Mus musculus: one gene and its partners. The protein of the gene in region 1 purifies or fractionates together with the protein of each later gene. This does not show direct contact. Links are inferred from orthologs where the notes say so. Each region holds a gene or a part of one and is shown on either strand. Other genes may lie near its edges. The genes, in order: Crnkl1, Ccdc12 and Ppie.

Evidence for each region.
Region 2: the proteins of Crnkl1 (region 1) and Ccdc12 purify together in Homo sapiens (co-immunoprecipitation; 3 studies listed by BioGRID and IntAct, with this or other methods). This does not show direct contact. The link is inferred for Mus musculus from reciprocal best matches to the Homo sapiens genes CRNKL1 and CCDC12.
Region 3: the proteins of Crnkl1 (region 1) and Ppie purify together in Homo sapiens (affinity purification with mass spectrometry; 3 studies listed by BioGRID and IntAct, counting the BioPlex papers as one, with this or other methods). This does not show direct contact. The link is inferred for Mus musculus from reciprocal best matches to the Homo sapiens genes CRNKL1 and PPIE.

What each region holds. Positions count from the first base shown.
Region 1 is NC_000068.7:145,928,171-145,931,817, reverse strand, and holds part of Crnkl1 (crooked neck-like protein 1), read left to right. Parts: intron 1-389; coding exon 390-548; intron 549-1,117; coding exon 1,118-1,284; intron 1,285-3,518; coding exon 3,519-3,647. UniProt on the Homo sapiens protein: Involved in pre-mRNA splicing process. As a component of the minor spliceosome, involved in the splicing of U12-type introns in pre-mRNAs.
Region 2 is NC_000075.6:110,654,942-110,659,342, reverse strand, and holds the start of Ccdc12 (coiled-coil domain-containing protein 12), read right to left. Parts: upstream 2,841-4,401; 5' UTR 2,781-2,840; coding exon 2,685-2,780; intron 1-2,684.
Region 3 is NC_000070.6:123,126,536-123,130,019, reverse strand, and holds the end of Ppie (peptidyl-prolyl cis-trans isomerase E), read left to right. Parts: intron 1-2,239; coding exon 2,240-2,382; intron 2,383-2,573; coding exon 2,574-2,642; 3' UTR 2,643-2,905; downstream 2,906-3,484. UniProt on the Homo sapiens protein: Involved in pre-mRNA splicing as component of the spliceosome. Combines RNA-binding and PPIase activities.

The DNA of each region.
Region 1 (3,647 bases):
GTGCCATTTGTTTGCTCTCTGCTTTGACCCCTTGAAGGTGCCCTTTTCTACCAACCTTGACTTCTGAACAAACTACAACTATCTCTCCCATTCTTGGTTCTGGAGTTCCTGCAACTTAGCCTGTTTCACCAAACATTGCTGTTTCTCACTGTGTTTCCTGTCTAGACCTTGACTATACTGCTCATGACCTTATGAAATAATTGCATGCTGTCTCTAAAGACTGTACGATAACTTGAGAACATCATTGCTTTTCCTCTTTTTATGACCAGAAGGTGGCCCATGATAGATAGATGCCTAACAACACAGGAGGACATTGCAGCTACTGTGAGGTGGCTGCTGCATATCTCACGGTTGCTGCCTTTGATGCTCTCCATATCTTATTTGTTAAGGGCTCGATCCATATACGAGCGTGCTTTAGATGTCGACTACCGAAATATTACCCTCTGGCTGAAATATGCAGAAATGGAGATGAAGAACCGCCAGGTCAACCATGCCCGAAACATCTGGGACCGTGCCATCACAACTCTGCCACGCGTCAACCAGTTCTGGTAAGCTGCTCATTGCACAAAGCAGTCTTTGTGAACTAGCAAATACCACTTGATTGGGTATTAGGTTTATTGCAATTATAATAGTTGTATGTGTTGATTATTATATTCTATTTTTTTAAAATATATATACTGATTTTTAATGTCACATAATCTATGAATCATAATTCTAATGTCCCATGGCTATGTAATCAAACTTAAATGTTTAGTACAATTTTTTATTCATAAGAAACTTCTTAATGAAGCCTTCCTCCCCTATGGATAATTCTTTTTCAGGTTTATATTTTAATAAGAAAACATTTGCTTAAACATCTTGGAAAGATAAAACTTAAAATCAACCAGGCAGTGGTGGCACACACCTTTAGTCTCAAGACTTAGGTGGCAGAGGCCCACCTGGTTCCAGGATAGCCAAAGCTACATAGAGAAACCCTGTCTTGGAAAAACAAAGAAAACAAAACAGAAAAAAAAAACCTTAAAATCTTTCATTTAACAAAATGTTAGAAGTGTCAAAGCGTTACTTTTCCTCCTGAGTCATTTTGACCACAGCAGGCGTCTTTGGATGATTTTGTCAGGTATAAGTACACATACATGGAGGAGATGTTGGGCAACGTTGCTGGTGCCCGCCAGGTGTTTGAGCGCTGGATGGAATGGCAGCCTGAGGAGCAGGCCTGGCATTCCTACATCAACTTCGAGCTGAGATACAAAGAGGTGGAGCGGGCCCGCACCATCTATGAACGCTATATCCTTTGAATAAGGTATTAGTGGTACATGGCTGTCATGGGTATCTACCTCCCAAAAAGATGTCACAGTAAAGACATGTAGCTACTAATGTGACATTGGAAACTAGGAAGGCAAGTTTCGTCCCTTTGACAATTTTCTGTAGGGTTAGAAACTGGTCAAATAAAAATGTGTAGACTGGGTCATTTGAGTCTTTTCAGAGATATTGTGGGTTCGTTTTTGGGTTTGCACAAAGTCCTAGCTGCTAGAACCAGAGGTCTGCATTGCTCATTGGCACTGCTAATGGAGCTCATCAGAGTTGACTGCTTACTAGCTGCGACTCCAGCTAATAAATGACTCCAGAGTCATCTAGTTCCTTGAGCCTTTGTGTCTTTTCTATACAAGAAAAATTAAAAACTAAACATGGTGAAGTCTAGGTATATACTCATGTATAGAGCATGTGCCTAACATATTTTGAGACCCTGAGTTTAGGCTTCAGCACTATAGAAAACAGACCAATGTTAACAAGTGGAAGATGGTGTTTGTGAAAACACTGTTAGAAACGGATCTGTGAAGCTCATCACCCAGAGGCGCCTTATTTGCAAATTGCCACACTTACTGAAATTTATTTCGAGTTCTCAATAATTGCTATGCTTTAGCAGTCATTTGCAGACATGTATAGAGCAATGGCTGAAGTCTACTTCAGCAGTATATAGTGATGCCTGAGTGTGAAGTCAGGAGCAACCCACTGTGTCCACAAGGAGTGCTCTCCCTCTCTGAAACCAGTGGATCAAGGTTCTGACACCTGCAGAGAGAGGGACAGCCTAAAGCTAGTTGCTTGGTGCTCTGAGCCACAAACACATGAGTAGATGACTTAGTTGCCGAAGTACTTGGTGCACAACAGGCCCGTGTTTGGATCTGTAGCACGCATTTACAAAGCTGCACCCAGCATATATCTGTAATTCCAACACTGGGGAGGTGGAGACAGGAGGATTCCAAGGCCTTTAGGCTAGTCAGTCTAGTTGAATAAGTAAGCTCCAGGCTCAGTGAGAGGCCCCATATCAAATAATGAGGTGGGGAGCAACTGAATAAGATACCTGATGTCAGCCTCTGGCCTCTTGCACCCATATGTGCTTGTGCGTACACACACACACACACACACACACACACACACACACACACACACACACACACAAGAAAATAGGATGTGCTGGCTTTAGAATTTAACACTGGTCTGTGGGAGATGTGTGCACGCATATTCCTCCTAGGATCAGTGGCTTGGCATTCAGTGGCTGAGAGTTCTTACTGGCTTTCCAGAGCTGCTGTAAGCAGTGAGAACCTTGCTGTGCAACATTAAGATCTTCAGTTGTCTCTACTCATTCCATAGTGGCTTAGCAGAGGCTTGAGGAACACTGGGTTTGTAGCTGATGGGACCCTGAGCTCTTACTACTGTCAGTGCTTGGGAAAACCCTGAAGTGCAGGAACTACCCCATTCAGCAAGTGCGGAAACTGATTAAGCAACTTGATGAGGGTCTCAGGTGGTGGCACTAGGGGTATTTGACCCAGGAAATGAACCTCAGAGCTGATGGTCTTAACATCCTTGCTCCCCTTGAGTGTATTTTCCCTGTGGAAATGATTTGGCTTCTTCAGGGAAGGCTGATGTGCTCTGGTAATAAATGGCAATTGAAGATTTGTCTTTAGCTTTAGATAGCAGCTCTCTTTTTGTGGCAGTTTGTTCTTTCGTTGTGAGTAGACTGTTGTAATGAGCATTTAATGGAATAGGTGCTTTTTATTGGCCATGTTCTTTTGGCCAGAAAGTGCTAAGCTTTATAAACATTTCCTCATTTCATTAAGCAATGATGGGTGAAGTTGATAGTATTTTTCCCTTTCCACACATGAAAAAAACTGAGACAGACATTTTTGTTGAAGATCACATGGTTTGTAACTGGGTTGAGGTTTTCTTTGGCTTCAGACTGTCCCACTGCTACAATACCGAGTCAGCGTTGAAGGGAGGTCAAAAGAGTAAGGTGACCTCTCAGGCTATAGGTTAGTTGCTAGCCTCCTTTGTGTGTGCTCATCCCCACTTGTATTTGGAATTGTTGGAGTTTGGGAGGTTAGTAAGAGTGGGGGTCTGTTGTGTGGGTGTTGAACCTTTGGCATGTGCTGTGCATGCGCACTGCCACTGGGCCAGCCTCAGCCTGTTACTGGCTTAGCCGCGTTGTCCTGCCTGCTCTTTCCTTCACTCCCTGCCCGTACTTGTGCTCGTGCACCCTGCTGTGAAAAACTGGATCAAGTACGCAAGATTTGAAGAGAAGCATGCTTACTTTGCTCATGCGCGGAAAGTCTACGAGAGAGCGGTGGAGTTTTTTGGGGATGAGCATATGG
Region 2 (4,401 bases), on another chromosome or scaffold:
GCCTGGTGCTCTAGCAGGGGCATCATTTTTACCAGCTGCAGATAATTTGATTCTGGGGACTCTGGAGATGGTAAAAAGGAGAGAGTCCTGAGAGGACTGGCAGCCGCTCTGGGTTCCTGCTGCTGTGGTGTGTCAACTGGTCAGGAGCAAACAGATGAGAAGAAGTTGTGGATATCCCGACAACAAAGATAGCCCCAAGGCACTCAATGCCCGTAATCAGCAGGAAGTAGTCTACTCTGTTGGCTGAAATATGTCCACAGTACCTTCCCCTCTAATCTTCTCTCTCTCCTACCTAGTGTTGGGGGGAATGGAAGGGATAAGCGTGGGATAAGGGTTGGCAGGGAGGTAAAGGTGTAAAGAGCCCAATAAAATATTAAACAAACTCTCCAACCCACGCTCCTGGCCAGAGGAGAGGTAAACCAGATGGCTTCTGGGAAATAACCAGACGGCTTCCGGGAAATTCCAGCACGCAGTTAAAAGCTCCCCAGCTTTATATATAAATATATACAATATAAAACCCAGCTTGCTGACAATCCCATTAGGAGGTTGGTAACAATGGCGCACACCTTTAATCCCAGCACCTGGGAGGCGGAGGCAGGAGGATTTCTGAGTTCAAGGCCAGCCTGGTCTACAAAGTGAGTTCCAGAACAGCCAGGGCTACACAGAGAATCCCTGTCTCAAAAAAAAAAAAAAAAAAAAAAAAAAAAAAAAAAGAAAGAAAGAAAGAAAAAGAAAAAGAAAAAGAAATTCAAGGTCTTCTGTTTCTTGGTGGGTATGAAACCAGTGCCAGACTTCAAGAAATCCTATCTCAAAAAACAAAACAAAGACAAAACAAAACAAAAAGCCTACACAAGACACCATCACAGCTGAAGAAACTGAAAACAACTGAAACGGAGAGGCATGCTCACAGACTGGTTATTTTAACATATTTAAAATGATGACACTGTCCCAAATGACTTACAGATTCAAGGCAATCCCTACAAAATCTCAACAATGCTCTTTACACAAACAGGAAAACTCATTCCAAAATTCAGATAGAATCTTTTTTGTTTTGTTCTTTTGAGACAGGATTCCTTTCAATGTGTCTCCAAGGCTGGACACCAATCCTCCTGCCTGAGTCTCTCAAGTGCTGGGACAACAAGCACGCACCACCGCCCCTAGCTTCACGTGGAATCTTAAGGGGAACCTCAATAGCCAAAACAACCTGGAGAAGGAGCTAAGGTACACCATTTAGACTAATTTCAGAACTTACTGCAGGCTGGGTGTGGTGGAACAAGCCTCAATCCCAACACTTGGTAGGCAGAGGCAGGAGGATCTACAGGGCTTGTTGGCTGCCAGCGTAGCCTAAACAACCAACCGACCAACCAACCACAAGCTTCCGGCTCCTGGAGAGAACCTGCCTCAAGAGTATCAGAGAGAGTGACAGATGAGGATGAGAGCCAAGCCTGCGCCTCCCTGGGTCTGAAGGGCAGGAGGGTAGTCATCTGATGGGTCTCTAGGCTGCCAAGGAAAGCAGAAGCCTGCTGGGCCAGCGGTCGGTCGCTCTCACTACTTCCCTTTCGCTTTCTCATAGTATGCTACAAGGTAGGCAGCTATTCCGAAAGGAAAACAAAGCCAACCGAGACTGACCAATCTCGGTTTTTTTTTTTTTTTTTTTTTTTTTTGTTTAGTAAGTCGGAAGTGGAGTCTCTGATTTCCTCCACCTCTGCCAAATGTTTTTTGTTGTTGTTGAATGAGGGACACCGTTTTTTGTTTGTTTGTTTGGTTGGTTGGTTTTGTTTTGTTTTTTTGCCTATGTAACAAAGAGCCAACATCTTCCAGCTTCCCATGCTGATGTTCTCAAAAGAACTTCAATAGCCAAAAAAAAATGGTCTTGAGAAGGAACTAGGTACACGACTTAAGACTAATTTCAAAACTTACTGCAGGTCAGGTGTGGTGAAACAAGCCTCAATCACTGATTTTCCCTATTATATGGCAAAATAACCCACAAAAGTGACTGTGTTATTTATTCCTCTACTGGAGAAGTGAAAACACAAACACAAAAACAAACAAACAGGCTTAGGAACATGAAACAATTTGTCCTAAGTCTCACCGTGTCGAAAGACACAGCCAAAATCTGCACACAAGTAGTGAATTTCATTTCTTTGGAAAGACCAGCAAGTAAGGATGAATCCAGACCATATTTCGGTGGCTACCGAAAGGAAGGAAAAGTGTTTTTCGAATCTGGCAACTAATAGGACTAGTAAGCCAAGACGGGAAAGAAACGGCAGCCTTCTTTCCCTGCAGTCCACCCAGAAAGGTCACTAGCTGTCCTACCCAAGGGAGCCCTGGTGGTAGGTGTTGGAAGGCACGGCCAATGGGGCCAATCAAAAACTTAAACAAACAAATAAACAAAAAAACCGCCGAGCCCAACAAACATGTAGTTAAAAGCCGGCCTTGCAACAACTACCATGATGGATAAAATATCTGGGTTGTCGCCCGAAAACGACTTCCTAAGGCGCACGCGCGAGCTCCGCCCCTGCACTCAAGAAACGAGCCTATCTCAGAGGTCAGCGCCGTCCCACTGCGCATGCGCTACGCGCACGCGCACTTTGGCTTCAGTGGTTCCCTGGTAATCCTCCGCCTTCCCACTGGCCCAGAGCACTGGCCGCCATACCCGCAGCTCTCACTCCACCGTGCCTCACCTTGCGCCCGGTTTTCTCCCGGAGGGCCTTCAGCCGTTCTTTCCGCCGCAGCGCCTCTTCCTCTAGGCGGCCCACACCGGCAGGAGCAGCCGCCATCTTTTCGGAGGCCCCCACCTCCTTTTCACTTCTGCCTCGCGCAGGCTCAGTGAGCAGGAGAATGTCTTACGGCCAATCCAAGGGAGACAATGGAGAGCCGGAAGCCCTGAGAACCAATCAATGCTGAGTTGATACAAAAGTCCACGCCCCTTGATCTGGAGCACCTGTACAGCGAGTGAGCCGGCTGGGTTGTGGGCAAAGGCGTTAAGATTCGATTTGTCCGACACTTAATTTGTGAGAAAGCAAATAGAATCAGACCTGAGAGGAAGAGAATAGAGAGAGTCGATTGCTCTGGTTTTGCCTAACCACCACCCACCTCTCCTAACTGCCCTCTTGGAATATTTAGCCATCCTTATCCACTTGTGCCAATTCTTCAAGAGCGAATGCCTTGAGAAACATTCCCTGAGCCGGGTGAGGTGGTGCACGTTTGTAATTCCAGCACTTCAGAGGCTGAGGCATCAAAATTATGGGGTCGGGTTCAGTCTGGGCTACGTAAGATAACCTTGTCTTAACGCACCACTACCAGACAAACACCCAGAAACCTTCCTTGGCCACTCTCATTCCCAACTCACTCTGAGGTCAGCCTCTCCCTTCTCTACAGAGTGCCAGTGGCAGCTTGCACTCACTCGCCTGATGAGTTGTTGCGCATAAGCCTTGCTATCCACTCTCTGGCTCCAGAACTGCTGAGTTCGAGGCCTGGCTACATGGCCTTTTCCTTTGAACTCAAGAATGATCTCGCATCTCTTTCGGGAGCTGCAGCATAATCAGAGTCAGGCTACCTTACCTGCTTAAAAGCAAATAGCAGCCGGGCGTGGTGGCGCACGCCTTTAATCCTGGCACTTGGGAGGCAGAGGCAGGCAGATTTCTGAGTTCGAGGCCAGCCTGGTCTACAAAGTGAGTTCCAGGATAGCCAGGGCTATACAGGGAAACCCTGTCTCGAAAAACAAACAAACAACAACAAAAAAAAGAGCAAACAGCAACCAGGGCCGAATAAGTGCCACTGAATTACTCTCTCCTCCCAGTATAAAAAGAGGTTGACGGAGCCGGGCGTGGTGGCGCACGACTTTAATCCCGGCACTTGAGAGGCAGAGGCAGGTGGATGGATTTCTGAGTTGGAGTCCAGCCTGGTTTCCAAAGCGAATTCCAGGATAGTCAGGACTACATGGAGAAATCTTGTCTCACAAAACAAAAGGAGAAGAAGGAGTTTGACTGCGGCAGATGGTCACAGATGCGTTTGCTTCTTTTCTTCTCCTCCTCCTCTTCCAGGAGATGGCAAGCCCATGAGCAACGTGGCTCCCTGTCTGGGGCTTCTGTTATAAAGCTGGCCCAAAGGAGAATGATCTTCCCTAACAGCTCCCTTCAAATGTCACCGTTTCCTAAGCTCGGTGTTATCCTGGGTTAACCTGGTTCTGTCTGGGACCTTCCCTTACAGTAGGAGACGGGGTGGCTGCCAGCCCCTGGCATAGAGGGTATCTGTGCTCAGGAAAGGTAAGCTCATACTAAGATGCATAGGGCGCTTCATACTGATCGATCCCTAGGACCAATAGGAGCCATCTGGACCTAGCAAACTTTCCCCTACCCCTAACAAAGAAGCTGGTTCCCACCCAACACCAGGGGCTCC
Region 3 (3,484 bases), on another chromosome or scaffold:
TCCATCTATCCCTCCTGGGCTGGATGGAGTCTGTCCCTCTGCCACTTAGGATCTTCATGTCTCCTGCTGGCTCCCTTTGACTTATAAACTGTGTTTCCCCTGTTCAGCTAGTTTGGTCCATCAGTGACCAGGCATGCAATCTCAATCTTAAAAAACCCAATAACCACCTTTGGACTCTTGTTCCTTCCACCAGCATCATCTTGACTCTCTACTTTTTAGCAAAACTTTTTAGAAAAAATGTATAAACTCACTGCCTTCATCCTTTCTAAGTCCTTCTATCTAGATTTTTAGCCCCAGCTGGCCATGCAAACCTTTCTTTCTTTTTTTTTTTCGAGACAGGGTTTCTCTGTGTAGCCCTGGCTGTCCTGGAACTCACTCTGTAGACCAGGCTGGCCTCGAACTCAGAAATCCCCCTGCCTCTGCCTCCGGAATGCTGGGATTAAAGGCGTGCGCCACCACGCCCGGCTACACGCAAACCTTTCTTGCTAAAGATACTAACCATCTTTTTTGCCAATAGCCAGTTTTCCGCCTCAGCTTATTCCAGCGTGTCAGCATTCTGTGCTGACAGTGCCATACTCCTGCTCTCTCTGTCTCTGTCTCTCTGTCTGTCTGTGTCTGTCTCTGTCTCTGTCTCTCTCTGTCTCTCTCTCTCTCTGTCTGTGTCTCTGTCTCTCTGTCTGTCTGTCTGTCTCTGTCTCTCTCTGACTCTCTCTCTGTCTCTCTCTGCACTGGCAGGCGGCCCCTCCATCTTCAGCGGCTTCATCTGCTTTGCCACCTTTCTGTCGTGCTGCTTCCTCCTGTTCCATTACTGAGCACGATGGTGGTCAGAGATGAGTTCATTTCTCCCTAGGAACCTGTCCACTGCGCCTCTGTTCTTCCTGCAAGCTTGTGCTAGACTGAAGTACAGGGCCAAGAAGTTCTTCCTGCCTGCATTATCTTACAAGAAAGTATGTCCTGACACACTTTCACAAGAGTTATTCCAACGTGTGCCGCTCAGATGTTAGAAGACAGACAGGCTGTCGCTGGCAATTTGGATACCACAGATGGTATTGCTGGTGCTGACACAATTTTGTGAAATGATGTATAGGATTACATTATAGTGTTAATTCTTGAGTTATTTTTCTTGGTTTGTTTTTGAGACAGGATCTCACACTCTGTAACCATAGCTGACCTGGAACTTGCCATAAAGACCAGGCTGACCTGGAAATCACCAAGATCCACCTGCCTGAGGCTCCCAAGTACTGGGATTAAAGGCGTACACCACCATACCTGGTTTGCTTTTTGAAACTGGGTCTTAGAGTGTGACTCAAGCTAGCACTGACCTCTGGATACTCATGAGTGCTGAGATTACAGACATGTACTGCTGCATACGGCTCCCTAGAAGATTTCACTACACTTAAAGTTTGCCGTTTGTGAAATATAATAGACTTAGGTCTTAACTAGAAAGGTGGCTCAGTGGTTAAGAACACTTGCTGCTCTTGTAGAGGACCCTCAGGCATCACAGGTTAAAATGGTTCTCCTTCAACTCCCTTTATGTCTGAGTTTCAGTAGATAACTGTTCACTTATGCCTGATCAGGGGTTGGGACTCATCTTGGATTCATTTCCCCTGTCACCCTAGTTGCACCTTGTCTCTAGTTCATCTCCTGGCCCAGCTTTCCTCCTTCCCTCCATGTGACTGTCTTAAGCTTCTCCCCAGCACAGATGTCCCTGCATCTCAGTTGTCATAGCACAGTAGCCTTTACAAGAGATGTACTTATCATTTGGGTTGGTTGCTTGTACCAAGTACTTTAAGTGAGGGTCCATGCAGCACAGTCGGTGTGGAGGTCAGAGCACACTTTGAGGAGACAACTCTTTCCTTACCATAGGTTCTGGAAATGAAATGCAGATTGTCCAACTTCCACAGCAAGCTCCTTTCTCTGTGGACCCATCTCCCCAGCTCATACACTTACACTTTAAATAAATATTTTGCTCATCAGTGTTTCAGGATTTAATGGGCCTGGTTACAAAATAGACTGCAAGTCATTGTTATAAATGAAAAGACAAATAAATGTGAAGGAAAAAATAAAAACGGAAACAGCCCACTCATCCTTTTTCTGTAGTGAGGGAAAGACAAGGTGCTGTGTCTGTTAGGACCCTTCCATGGCCTGAGCCAGTATGCAGAAGCACCGGCAGCCATCAGCACATGCACCATGGGCTGGGAGCAGTGTGGAGGGAGCTGACAAGTTTATTTTCTCCTAGGCCTCCTCTCCATGGCCAATTCTGGCCCGAACACCAACGGCTCCCAGTTCTTCCTGACCTGTGATAAGACAGATTGGCTGGACGGCAAGCATGTGGTATTTGGGGAGGTCACGGAAGGCCTGGATGTCTTGCGGCAGATCGAGGTGGGTGGTTGGAAGTTGCTTCCTGCCTGGACCTTGCGTGGGTGGGTGCCCCAGTGGGAGAGTTGGGGAGGGCTCTTGATGTCCTGGAAGGGGGCATTTAGAGCAGGTCCCTGAATGTCTGGGGAGAGGATGATGCTCTAGCGGCTCTCGCATCCTGCGTCTCTCCTGATTTCTCTGTTCTGCCCGCACAGGCTCAGGGCAGCAAGGATGGGAAGCCAAAGCAGAAGGTGATGATTGCCGACTGTGGAGAGTACATGTGAGGCTGCGCTCTCTGCTCCACCTCTGTAAGACGAGGGGAACTGCCTGGTCTGGGCCCTGTGCAGCAAGCTGTGTAGAGCACAAGCCTTTCCTTGGGGTCACCTGCCTTAGCAGCTGCTCATCTGCAGTGCCCAGGCCTTCTGCAGGCATGACTGGGCCTGAAAGCCAGCATAGGCAGTGTGCTGCCGCCACCTGTCCTGAACTGTCTGTAGCTGCTAGGTGGCTTCTTTGCTAAAATAAACTGCTTGTTTTGTTTTTTTTTTTACTGTTGCCTCCTGCAAGTTGCTGAGAGTTGTCTGTTAGAGATCACATCCAAGGCTAGGCTGTCCCCTGAGTGGGGTGGCATGTTTGGAAAGCTGTAATACCTTCCCTGTGGCTTTGTTTCCTTCCTTCCTGGGGCTAAATCCCTTATATGCCAGGTCATCTTTATGCCACATGTCCTATCAGATCATGTCAGGGCAGCGGAAGTCAGAGCTGCTTATCCCTGTTGCCGGTGCTCCTGAACCAACGCTGCCTGTCTGGGGGTGGCCTTGGTGGCTCCCATGTCTAACGTTCACGTTACATTCTTCAGGTCTTTAAAATGGTAGGTGTAGTATGCCTCAGCCAGCTCTGCCAGGTACTGGCTTCTTTTCAGGAGACCAAAGGTTGGCACAGTACCCGGGCATCCAGCAGCTTGCTGCTTGTTTCTTTGAATTAGGTTTTTATTGAGACACTGCCATATCCATTTAAGTTCAGATGCTGCCTGTGGCTTCGTTCTCTCTACAGCGATAGAAGCAAATAGTTGGTGACTGACTTTGTATTTGTGTTCTCAGTGTGTGTGTGTGTTCACATATGTACTGACTAG